Linked DNA regions of Sus scrofa. The main gene of each other region encodes a partner of the protein of the gene in region 3 in a complex. Links are inferred from orthologs where the notes say so. Each region holds a gene or a part of one and is shown on either strand. Other genes may lie near its edges.

What was found. Proteins that work in one complex are often made in the same cells at the same time.
Region 1: TXNL4A (region 3) and SNRNP200 share a complex: the UniProt entries of both Homo sapiens proteins name them as parts of the U4/U6-U5 tri-snRNP complex. The link is inferred for Sus scrofa from reciprocal best matches to the Homo sapiens genes TXNL4A and SNRNP200.
Region 2: TXNL4A (region 3) and LSM5 share a complex: the UniProt entries of both Homo sapiens proteins name them as parts of the precatalytic spliceosome. The link is inferred for Sus scrofa from reciprocal best matches to the Homo sapiens genes TXNL4A and LSM5.

Annotation. Positions count from the first base shown.
Region 1 is NC_010445.4:46,927,566-46,931,865, reverse strand, and holds the start of SNRNP200 (U5 small nuclear ribonucleoprotein 200 kDa helicase), read right to left. Parts: upstream 2,801-4,300; 5' UTR 2,642-2,800; coding exon 2,597-2,641; exon of another isoform or gene 2,465-2,596; intron 2,131-2,464; coding exon 1,967-2,130; intron 1-1,966. UniProt on the Homo sapiens protein: Catalyzes the ATP-dependent unwinding of U4/U6 RNA duplices, an essential step in the assembly of a catalytically active spliceosome. Plays a role in pre-mRNA splicing as a core component of precatalytic, catalytic and postcatalytic spliceosomal complexes.
Region 2 is NC_010460.4:40,751,035-40,755,189, forward strand, and holds the start of LSM5 (U6 snRNA-associated Sm-like protein LSm5), read left to right. Parts: upstream 1-1,355; 5' UTR 1,356-1,448; coding exon 1,449-1,494; intron 1,495-1,505; exon of another isoform or gene 1,506-2,382; intron 2,383-2,497; coding exon 2,498-2,593; intron 2,594-3,428; coding exon 3,429-3,456; intron 3,457-4,155. UniProt on the Homo sapiens protein: Plays a role in pre-mRNA splicing as component of the U4/U6-U5 tri-snRNP complex that is involved in spliceosome assembly, and as component of the precatalytic spliceosome (spliceosome B complex).
Region 3 is NC_010448.4:127,977,880-127,981,115, reverse strand, and holds part of TXNL4A (thioredoxin-like protein 4A), read left to right. Parts: intron 1-343; coding exon 344-447; intron 448-3,236. UniProt on the Homo sapiens protein: Plays a role in pre-mRNA splicing as component of the U5 snRNP and U4/U6-U5 tri-snRNP complexes that are involved in spliceosome assembly, and as component of the precatalytic spliceosome (spliceosome B complex).

The DNA of each region.
Region 1 (4,300 bases), on a different chromosome or scaffold from region 3:
GATTCCTAGAAAAGAAGACATATTCTGCAAATTGGAGGACCAATGATATATAACTCATTTCAAACGTAACTGCTTTACTCAAAACCGGGCCCACAAATTTTTGTGATTTCATCATGGAAGAGGAGAAAGACAAAGATGATGAGGGTCAAAAGATAACAATGAGATAAAGCTCAAAGATTTTGAGCTTTGGAAATATACTGCCCTCCCTCCAAAGTAAAAAATCAAAAAGAAAGCAAAACAAAACACCTGCTTTCATACTATGGATGCTTGAATGATATTTATAACAACAAAAGTGGAATTTGGTCTGCACAGCAAAGGAAACCATAAAAAACAAAAACAAAAAAAAACCTACAGAATAAGAAAAAATAGTTGCGAAGGATGCAACCAACAAGGGCTTAATCGCCAAAATATACAAACAACTCAGTAGAAGAAAAACAAACAACCCAACTGAAAAATCACAGAAGACCTAAATAGACATTTACTCAAAAAAAAGACATACAGATGGCCAACAAGCACATGAAAAAATGCTCAAAAGCATTAATTATCAGAGAAATTCATATCAAAACTACAACGAGGTACCCCCTCACACCAGTCAGAATGGCCATCATTAACAAGTCAACAAATAACAAGTGCTGGAGAGGGTGTGGAGAAAAGGGTACCCTCCTTCAGTGTTGGCGGGAATGTAAATTGGTGCAACTACTGTGGAAAACAGGATGGAGGTTTCTCAGCAAACTAAACAGAAAACCACCACATAATCCAACAATCCCACTCCTGGGCATATATCCAGACAAAACTATAATTCAAAAAGATACATGCACCCCTATGTTCACTGCAGCACTATTCACAATAGCCAAGACATGGAAACAACCTAAATGTCCACTGACAGATGAATGGATTAAGAAGATGTGGTACATATACACAATGGAATACTACTCAGCCATAAGAGAATAAAATAATGCCATTTGCGGCAACATGGAGATCCTCATACTAAATGAAATGTCAGAAAGAGAAAGACAAATACCACATGATATCAGTTACATGTGGACTCTAAAACATGGCACAGATGAACCTATCTACAGTATGGAAACATACTCACAGACATGAAGAACAGATTTCTGGTTGCCAAGGGGGAGGGGGGAGTGGTGGGATGGACTGGGAGTTTGGGTTTAGGAGATGCAAACTATTACATTTAGAACAAATAAGCAATGAGGTGCCGCTGTATAGCACAGGGAACTATATCCAATCTCTTGTGATAGGACATGATAGAAGATAATATAAGAAAAAGAATTATGCATGTATGTATGACTGGGTCACTTAGATATACAGCAGAAATTGACAGAACATTGCAAATCAACCATAATAAATTTTTTTTTTTTTTTTTTTGTCTTTTGCCTTTTCAGGGCCAAATCCACAGCATATGGAGTTTCCCAGGCAAGGGGCTGAATCAGTGCTACAGCTGCCAGCCTGCGCCACAGCCACAGCAATGCCAGATCCTTAACCCACTGAGCGAGGCCAGGGATTGAACCCACTAGTCGGGTTCATTAACTACTGAGCCATGAAGGGAATTCCCCATAATAAAATTTAAAAAAATAAAATAAAATGTAAAAACAGAAAAAATAGAAATGGACAAGGGAAGACAAAAGAAGTAGGAGTGGCAAGTTAGTAATAGAAGAAAAGAGTTACTGAGACAAGGGTTAACCAAGAATCTTGAAAATACCATGAAAAAATTAAGATCTCTCTATGGACAAGAAACACATGCTGGCAAAAGGTCTAAAAATTGTTTTCCACCTCAGGTACACTTGTTAAGGCCAAGAACCTTTCAATTCTTATATTCTGTTTTTACTTTCACTGAGTTTTAATGCCACTACGTCTCCTTGCACCAAGCATTTCAGCAAAAACACTGCCCAAATACCAAGAGAAAATGGACTTTGGATTTGAATAAAAATCATTTTCGCCTTATACTCACTTGGCTCTTCTTTCCTCTTGCATCTGTGGTTTGGTCCGTTGAGCCTTATCTCCCATACGGGTACCTTCCAACTTCCCAACCAGGGAGAGCACCTCTCCTGTGGGTTCATCCCGGCGGGTCCGGTCAATGAGAGAGCGGTCAGCTTGGAGGACAAGATTCGAGTTCTGAAAAGATAACAATATGATCGAAGTTCTGACGTGAGCAGGACCAATTCCTCTATCACAAGGTGATAACCATTAGTTGGAATAAGATATTTTCCTTAGAAAGAGCATCGTACAATTGCGCGTGAGACAGAGGTAATCAAATAGGTAGAACAATCCTTGCTCCTAACACTGCCCACAATAATTCTCACCTGGGAAAAGTTGGGGGTGACTTACGGAAGAGGGCAGGTAAAGCGCTGAGGGGACAGGGGACAAACACTCCTAGCAGAGCTCTTAGCCCATCCCACTCGTCCCAGACACCAGTGGGGTTATTAGTCTTATCATCATGTACCCACACCTTCGCCCGGATCTGACTTCCCCTCTGATTTGGCAGTTCTTCCGAAGGCCTTCAGACAGAAGCTCCCTTCCGCAGACTCCCGCTCCCCACCGAGGTCCCCAGCCCAGAGCCCTGCGCCGAGCCTGCACGCACCGCCTTGTACTCGTACTGCAGGCTACGGGCGGTCACATCCGCCATGGCCGCCGCTGCTCCGGGGTCTCAGCACTCCTCTTCCCCCACCGCACGCTCTCAACGGTCACGGATATCCGCTACCGCCGCGCCGAAACAACGCAGAAGAGACGCAATGGAGGGAGAAAGAGACGAGCTTACTTCCGCTTCCGGGTCGCTCGCCGGAAGTGCAGGTGACCGTATCTACGGCGTGTGCGTTCCTCTTTCCTGAGACCTTATGGGCTCGGTTGGTTGGACCGACGAATTCCGAGACCCTCAGACAATGGTTCCGGACCCACGTCCCGTACTTTCTTACACCTCGGCCTCCGGCCTCCAAGACTCCTCACATCATAGCGAAGCGTACGTCTGTTTACCCCCTATCCTGTCTCAAGCGCTTTTCTACCGGCTTCTTCCTCTGGAAACAGTCCTGTGAGCTATGCCGGCAAGGAGAAACTAATGAACCCCATTTCTGGCTGAGAAAACTGAAACACCTGTGTGCCTGTGTCTGATATCTTCCTTGGGTTTTTCCTCTATATTGAACGATTGAAAGAACGCTCTGTTCCCCACCTGTCCCACCTAAAACCCATGCCTCCGGAGCTCTCATTCTGGTCTCACTTTACGCGGCAGGGCCCTCCCCACGATTGAAGAACTTCGGTGAAAGCAGCTACCCTCCTGGCAGGCCAACTCCTTGAAGACAGTAACAATTTCTTCTCCAACAACGAAGCCTATCCGGGCCCTGGAGGCACTCCTGCCTTCCTATCCCCTGCCTTCCCATCCCGAGTTCTGCTCTATGGAATGGCAACTAATAGCTGAATAGTTATAGCTTGTTTGTTTTTGAAAGATTAAGGGAAGCTAAAGGAATTCATCCTCTATGGCTGATGGCCATGGCCGACAGCTGCTGGTCCAAATTTCCCCTACAGGAGTATTTTGTTTGACTCACTATCTGGGATTGTTGAAAGTTCCTGGTGGCCTTGCAGTTAGGACCTGGCGTTATCTCTGCTGTGGCTCAGGTTCTATCCCTGGCCTGGGAACTTCTACATGCCAAGGGTGCAGCAAAAAAAAAAAATAAATAAATAAATAGCAAAGGACTGACCTTCTTACATGGCTGACTTGCCTGGTGCTAATCAGCAACTGCCACTTTCATTAGATGCACATGTTCTTCCCACAGACCCTGTAATTGCTTGGCCCCTGTAGGCATGAGGTTTGCAGCCCTGAGAGTTTTTTGTATATATAACTGGGCCTTCCAAGAGACAGTCAAGTTCTGTGGCAGCTCTGCTCCTCAGTGGCTTTGTGACTTTGAGTAGCTGCCTTGTTTCTAGGTGAGTGTCATTTTGTCATCCTTAAAATTGAGGCAGTAAAACTTTCCTCTTAGGTCTTTTGGTAAATGAGATAGTGTGTTTAAAAGCACCAGCAGGGGTTCCCATCATGGCTCAGCAGTAATGAACCCAACTAGGATCCATGAGGATTCGGGTTCAATCCCTGGCCTTTCTCAGTGGGTCAGGACCCAGTGTTGCCGTGACCTGTGGTGCAGATCGCAGACATGGCTCAGATCCTGCATTGCCATGGCTGTGGCATAGGCCGGCAACTTTAGCTCTGATTTCACCCCTAGGCTGGGAATTTCCATATGCTTTAGATGAGGCCCTAAAAAGACACACACAAAGTACCAGCAAAGTGCCTGACTCAGATAGG
Region 2 (4,155 bases), on a different chromosome or scaffold from region 3:
CACTGTATCAGAGCCACCTGTGCGACCCACACCAGCGCTCAGAGCAAGGCCAGGTCCTTAATCCACTTATCAAGGCCAGGGATTGAACCCTTGTCCTCAAGGATACTAATCCAGTTCCTTACCTTTGAGCCACGAGGGGAACCCCCAGAAAAGTATTTCTTTAAAGCTAGCTATGGGTTTGCAAACTTTTTTTCCTTTGGTCTTTTTAGGGCCGCACTCTGCAGTCTATGGAGGTTCCCAGGCTAGGGGATCAAATCGTAGCTGTAGCTTCTGGCCTAGGCCACAGCAAAGCAGATCCCAGCCACGTCTGAGACCTACAATTGCAGTTCATGACAACCCCGGATCCTTAGCCCATTGTGTGGGGCCAGGGATCCAATCCCCTGTCCCCAGGTACTGGTTGGGTTCCTTACCACTGAGCCACAATGGAAACTCCTACACTGAACCTTTAAAAGAAGGTAGGGGAGTTCCTGTGGTGGCTCAGTGGTTAAGGAATCCGACTAGGAACCATGAGGTTGCCTGTTCGATCCCTGGCCTCGCTCAGTAGGTTAAGGATCCGGCGTTGTGCCTGAGTTGTGGTGTAGGTCGCAAACGTGGCTTGGATCTGGCAGTTGCTGTGGTTCTGGCGTAGTCTGACAGCAACAGCTCCGATTAGACCCCTAGCCTGGGAACCTCCATATGCTGCAGGTGCAGCCCTAGAAAAGAAAAGAAAAGAAAAAAAAAAAAAAAAAAAAGGTAGGGAGTTCTCCTTTGTGGCTTAGAGGATTAAGAATCCAACTAGTATACCTGAGCGTGTGTTGGATTCCTGGGGTCGTTCAGTGGATTAAGGATCCCCTTGTTGCTGCGAGCTGCGGCTCAAACCCACATTGCTGTGGCTGTGGCTAGGCCGGCAGCTGCAGCTCGATTTGACTCCTAGCTTGGGAACTTCCATGTATCTGCTCTGTGGCCTTAAAAAGAAAAAAAAAAAAAAAAAAAAAAAAAAAAGCGGTAGATTCCTGTAAAAAAAAAAAGTTTTTGCTTTTGTTTTTTAACAAAAATTGCAACACAATAAAATCAGTGGCGGAAAAAATATTTATGTTGGTCTTCAGAAGATCCTTGGTTGAAATGAAATATAACCCAGGGAAAATCAAACGACTCAAACGTTTCTATTTTGCAGTCTTCCAGGTTGAGGAATATTTTATTTATAAGGCAAGATATCTTTAATTTGTCTTGGAAACTTGGAGGGCAAAGTATCTGCTGAGGCCGCAGAATGTTCAACGCACTGATGTATTCCCCCGGATCTCGTTGCGGAGGAAAGAAGTGACTCCGAGCGATTCACGTAGGACTGGCCCGATCGCACGCTCGGCCTCAGATTGGTCGAGCCTGGCCGGGCTAGGGGAAAAAAGCGGAAGCGCGCTCTTTCAAACTCGCCTTCCCAACGTCGGTAGAGGCTGGCCACTTCCGGCGTAGCCATGGCGGCTAACGCTACGACTAACCCGTCGCAGCTGCTACCTCTAGGTAATCGTTGTCCTGTGGGGAGCTGGGGAGGGGAGCTGAAGGGTTGCGGGCCGAGGGCCAGCGCAGTCCTTGACTGAGTGTTAGAGAAATGTATCTGACCAATTGTTTTCTTTATCCGCGGCTCTTTGGGCTCTAAGGCTCTGAGGCCTCAGGCCGCCCGCGTCTTTTCGGCGTGGAAGGGTTTTCTTGAGCCAGGACTTTCTGAGTTCTCACACCAAACCGTCACTGGAAAAGGTTCACACTTAGTGAATGCGTCGTCGGCCTTTTTTGTTGTGAGTTCGCCTTTACAGTAGTGGATAGCAGTCCCATTCTTCTACCTGGCATTTAAAATCCCTAGGTTAGACCCTGTTGTCTGTCTGGCCCGTTATTGAGAGAGGTAGCGGGGTCTGCAATGAGCTTTAAAAGGGGACACTGGAAATTAGCTCTGATTGTCATTCATTTATTCCACAAACAGTTTTTGCGCATCTGTAGACTAGACATCGTAACTTAGCTTCAGGTAGCATTCATGCCAGCGCAGGAGACAGGATGCCAGACAATTAAACATCATACCAAGTAACAGTAATTCTGCTGAAGAGATATTCAAGCTGCTCTCAGAGAACAGAGGATAGCCGTCTTGGGGCTGGGGAAGACAGTTATGTCTTTTTCTAATATTTTGTATCTGAAGGGTAATTAAGTTAGTGGACGTGGCGGTAATTGGAAAGTTTTTTCCTTCATTGAACAAAAAAAAGTTTCTTTTTAGGCCCGCACCCGAGGCACATGGAGGTTCCCAGGCTAGGGGTCCCATTGGAACTGTAGCTGCTGGCCTTCGTTTCTGCTGCGCCACAACGGGAACTCCCGAGACCTGAAGTTTTTGAGTGAATCCTTTTCTTGGTTTATCTTTCACCATATGTAAGTAATAAGTGCCAGTAAGTACTCACATATTTCTTGAAGTAATGAATGTGCAAAATAATTTTTTTCACCCCTCCCCCCACTTATTTTTCTTTTAAAAAACCTGTATCTATAGAGCTTGTAGACAAGTGTATAGGATCAAGAATTCACATTGTGATGAAGAGTGATAAAGAGATTGTTGGCACGCTTCTCGGATTTGATGACTTTGTCAGTATCCTTTTAAAAAGTGGGGGTATGGGTTTTTCTTTGTTTTTTAATTAAAAAAATTTTTTTTTGTTATTATTTTTTATGTCTTTTCTAGGGCTGCTCCCATGGCATATGGAGGTTCCCAGGCTAGGGGTCGAATCGGAGCTGTAGCCACCGGCCTACACCAGAGTCACAGCAAAGCGGGATCCGAGCTGCATCTGAAACCTACACCACAGCTCACGGCAACGCCGGATCCTTAACCCACTGAGCAAGGCCAGGGACGGAACCCGCGACCTCATGGTTCCTAGTCGGATTTGTTAACCACTGCGCCACGACGGGAACTCCATCTTCAGTTTTTTTTAAAAAAGTAAGAACTATAGTCAGTGCTTACTGATTATTATAATAAAAATTAATTTATTCTCATGGAATTCGTGGTAGTGTTTTAAGGGGTGTGTGTACCCCTACCAATCGCAAGCAATTTGAATTTGAGTCATTATGTTAAATGTTATTTTTTTATTTTTATTTTTTGTCTTTTTGCCTTTTCTAGGGCCGCTCCCTCGGCATAGGGAGGTACTCAGACTAGGGGTCTGATCGGAGCTGTAAGCTGCTGGCCTACGCCAGAGCCACAGCAATGATGTATCCAAGCCACATCTTCGACCTACACCACAGCTCATGGCAACGCCAGATCCTTAACCCACTGAGCAAGGCCAGGGATTGAACCCGCAACCTCATGGTTCCTAGTTGGATTTGTTAACCACTGAGCCATGATGGGAACTCCCAATGTTATAATTAAAACTGAACAAAGACAGAAGCCAGAGTAAATTTAACATGGTATATATTTTCTTAACACCAAATTTCAGATATGGTACTGGAAGATGTCACTGAATTGTGAGTAGTGTTAAAAATTAAAGAATTGGGCAGGGGGAATCTCTCTTTAAGGCAGTTGTAGCACTGTTGAGTCAGTAAAATGATGTATGAGAAAACACTGCCTGTTTGAATCACTAACATAGAAATTTTATGACTGAGGTTAGTAAAATTGGATTGTAGGATTATTACCTTAATTGTTAGGAAATTAGTGGAAACAAAGCTTTAAGGTAAAAGACACTAAAAGCAGTGAGGGATCTTAGGGCTCAGATCAAAAGTATTTAATACTTTGAATTGAATATAGAAAATGTAAATGATGGCTCAATTATATTAATTATAAAGATTGTGACCAGTAGTAGATCTGCTTTCAGAATTGAATTGATTACAGAATGGTATAATGGATAGGAAGCAGAAGCAAATGAATGGTTAAAAAAAATGAGGATAGTAAACATTTTATTTCATATTTGATCTCCTAGGCAAGTTTTAGCTTTTTAAGTGAAGATCAGCCCTAGTGGATGTGGATCTTAGATGAGCCCGTCAACTCTATTCCCTGTGGGGAAGAATAAACCAATGGATAACTTTTGTCTCATGTTTTCATTTATATATAATAATTAGCCTTTTGGGGGAATCAAAATGTTGGCTTTGACAATCACTGTTTATCCTGACTTTTTGTTTTGTTTTAATTTTTTCTTTATTTTTATCCTGACTTTTTAAAAAATCTGT
Region 3 (3,236 bases):
TGGGCCGCTCCCGCGGCATATGGAGGTTCCCAGGCTAGGGGTTGAATCGGAGCTGTAGCCACCGGCCTACGCCAGAGCCACAGCAACGCGGGATCTGAGCCACGTCTGCAACCTACACCACAGCTCACGGCAACGCCGGATCGTTAACCCACTGAGCAAGGGCAGGGACCGAACCCGCATCCTCATGGTTCCTAGTCGGATTCGTTAACCACTGCGCCACGACGGGAACTCCCTATACACAAATTCTTTTTGTTTTTGTTTTTAAATGTGCTTTTATGGAATAAAAAATGATTTGTCATTTTACATTTTGTTTTTTTTTCTCCCCAACCTCTTTTCCTTTTAGGTTAAAAATTTTGCAGTTATTTATCTTGTGGATATCACAGAAGTACCTGACTTCAACAAAATGTATGAATTATATGATCCGTGTACTGTCATGTTTTTCTTCAGGTATGTTCTCTTAAAGTTGTTATTTAAATTGAATAGATGGTCTGGAAGTTTAATGTAATCAAGATATCTTTAGATTCTTTTCTTTAGGAGGAGGTCAGTTATGCACTCATATCATAATATGGTTTGTGTCACCAGGCAATCAGTGTGATCTTTTAAATAATTTTCAAAGTAGCAATTACAGATTTAGCATTTACAGTAACACATTACCCTTTTGAAATAACTGCCCAGAAAACTAAATGAAGTGTAATTAAGTGGAAGATGTTCTTATTGACATTTCAGATACCTTTAAGTATAATATGTTGATGAAAAAATGTTTAAAATAACTGACTTTTTAAATATGATATCAATGACTTTATTTAGTGTCCTTTTGTGATAGCCAGAAGGAAAACCTTTACTTAATTACTTTGCTTAGAAATACAAGATTATTTTATCAGCTGAAAAATTCTGTTGCTGGAGTTCCTTTTGTGGCCCAGTAGTAATGAACCCAACTGCAAGTTCAGTCCGTGGCCCAACTCATTGGGGTAAACATCTGGCGTTGCCATGAGCTGTGGTATAGGTCACGGACGTGACTTGGATCTGGCACTGCTTGTGGCTGCGGCATAGGCCAGTAGCTGTAGCTCCAGTTCTATCCCTGACCTCACTGTAGCTCCAGTTCTGTCCCTGGCCTGGGAACTTCCATGTGCTGTGGGTGCAGCCCTAAAAACAAAACAAGACAAAAACTCTTTTGTGGACTTTAATCAGTCAGTTACTGACTCAAGGAATAGAATTTCCCTAATCGCCTTAAATTAATTTGTATCCATGATTTACAAACTTTGCATGAAAGGAGAACATAGAGTGGCTACTGGTTAGGTACATGGGTGTCCAATGCAGATGCAAATACGTTTGATTGGGGTTTATAAAGTTAAGTAGCATCACAAGTGAAAAAAAATTCTCTTGTGGACATTTAATTTGGAAAGAATCACCATTTCACAGTTTTTACTTGTCAAAATTTCTTACTGTTGGAGTACCCATTGTGGCTTAGCAGAAATGAATCTGACTAGTTTACATGAGGATGCGGGTTCAATCCCTGGCCTCACTCAGTGGGTCAGGGATCTGGCATTGCCGTGAGCTGTAGTGTAGGTCACAGATGCAGCTGGAATCCTGCGTTGCTATGGCTATGGTGGTGTACGCCAGCAACTGTAGCTCCAATTCGATCCCTAGCCTGGGAACTTCCATATGTCTAGGGGGTGGCCCTAAAAAGAAAAAAAATTCTTAGTTTATTGTTACTACAAAAGTTAGTAAATAGCAACATAAACATTAGGCCATACTCCAGAGGTAGAGCTTCACAATTAGAGAAGTTCTGGGTAGAGTATATAGGGTGTAGATTAGCTTTCTGTTCTGTTTGACAGTGTGCCCAAACTTGGTGGCTGAAAACAACACCATTTATGAGCCCAAGGTCTGTAGGTCACAGTCCAGGCAGGCTCACTGGGTTCTGTCTTGGGGTCTCAAGGCCATAGTCACAGGCTGGGCTTTTAGCCAGGCAGTCAGTCAGGGGGGAATCTACTTGGCTCTTGGGGACTATTGGCTGAATCCAGTTTCCAGTTCTGGGTGGACATGGGAATGAGGTGTCTTTCCACCTGGGCCCCTCTGTGCTCCTAGAGGCCCCTCCAGCTTTGAAGCCCTCAACCAAGAGTTGAGTCATTTTTACACAGTTGCTCTAACTTCCTGTTCTGCTTTCAGAGGGCACACTTGATGGATTAGACTGTATAATTCTGGGGCATCTCCTTATTTTAAAGTCAACTGGTGGGTACTTGTAGGGATACCTGCAGAATTCCCTTTGAAGTGCAGTGTAACTGATCGGAGGCATGATGTCATCTCATAGTCCTGAGGATTAGAGCAGGAAATAGCAGAGGTTATTTTAGGATTCTGCCTACTGCAGTCTGCCCTTTGGCTCACAAAGATTCAGATCCCTCTCGTATGCAAAACTGAGTGTGGATGAGGCTTCTCTGGGTGACCCATTAAGCCCAGCTCCTGGACACTCTTTCTCTGTGGCCCCTCCCCAGGATACAGTGTGGGACAGGCATAGGGAACAGTCTGGGTTCACCAGGAGCAGGGCTTTGATGCAGGGCTAGGATCATCCTCTTGGTCCAATGCCTGCCCTCGGGAGGGTTCTCCCCAGCCTTTTCTGCCTTTTTCATGAATGGCATTTCAGCTGGCTTATTTTTCAGCCTGCTTCCTGCCAGCAGCATGAAGTTGTAGTGCTTCCCCTCGGCCTGAGCAGGTAGAGTCTGTCCTGGGTGCCAGAGCTTGCTGGTTGCTTCCTGGGAGAAGATCCTGTCCTTTGAACATTCTGACCTTTAGGTCTTTTCCAGGTTTCAGTAGGTTATGTGGCTTCTGTGTCAAGAGTTCAGCACCCATTTCTGGATTTCAGCATCTTTTGCTATTTGGAGAGGCTGAGAATTTGTTGTTGTTGTTGTTGACAGTTTTTACAACCAGTTTCTCTCTTCTTTTACTATAAGGCCTAGGAAACCAGGCAGTGCCTTCAAGACTTTACTTCTGTGTTCTCAGCTCTTATCCACATGCATCGCTTACAAGTGTCACAGACATTCTGCCACTGTGTAGCAAAGATCCCTTTCCTCCACTCCCTGGAACATGTCCCTAACTCCTTGCAAGTCCATATTTCTACTAACAGGCTATTTAAGGCAATCCAGGCCTTTTCTGTTATGCTTCTCAAAGTTCTCCAAAAGTCCTCCAGGTGGGAATATGGGTGCCGCCTTAGATCCTGCTTCTCACTGCATGTGGCCAGGACA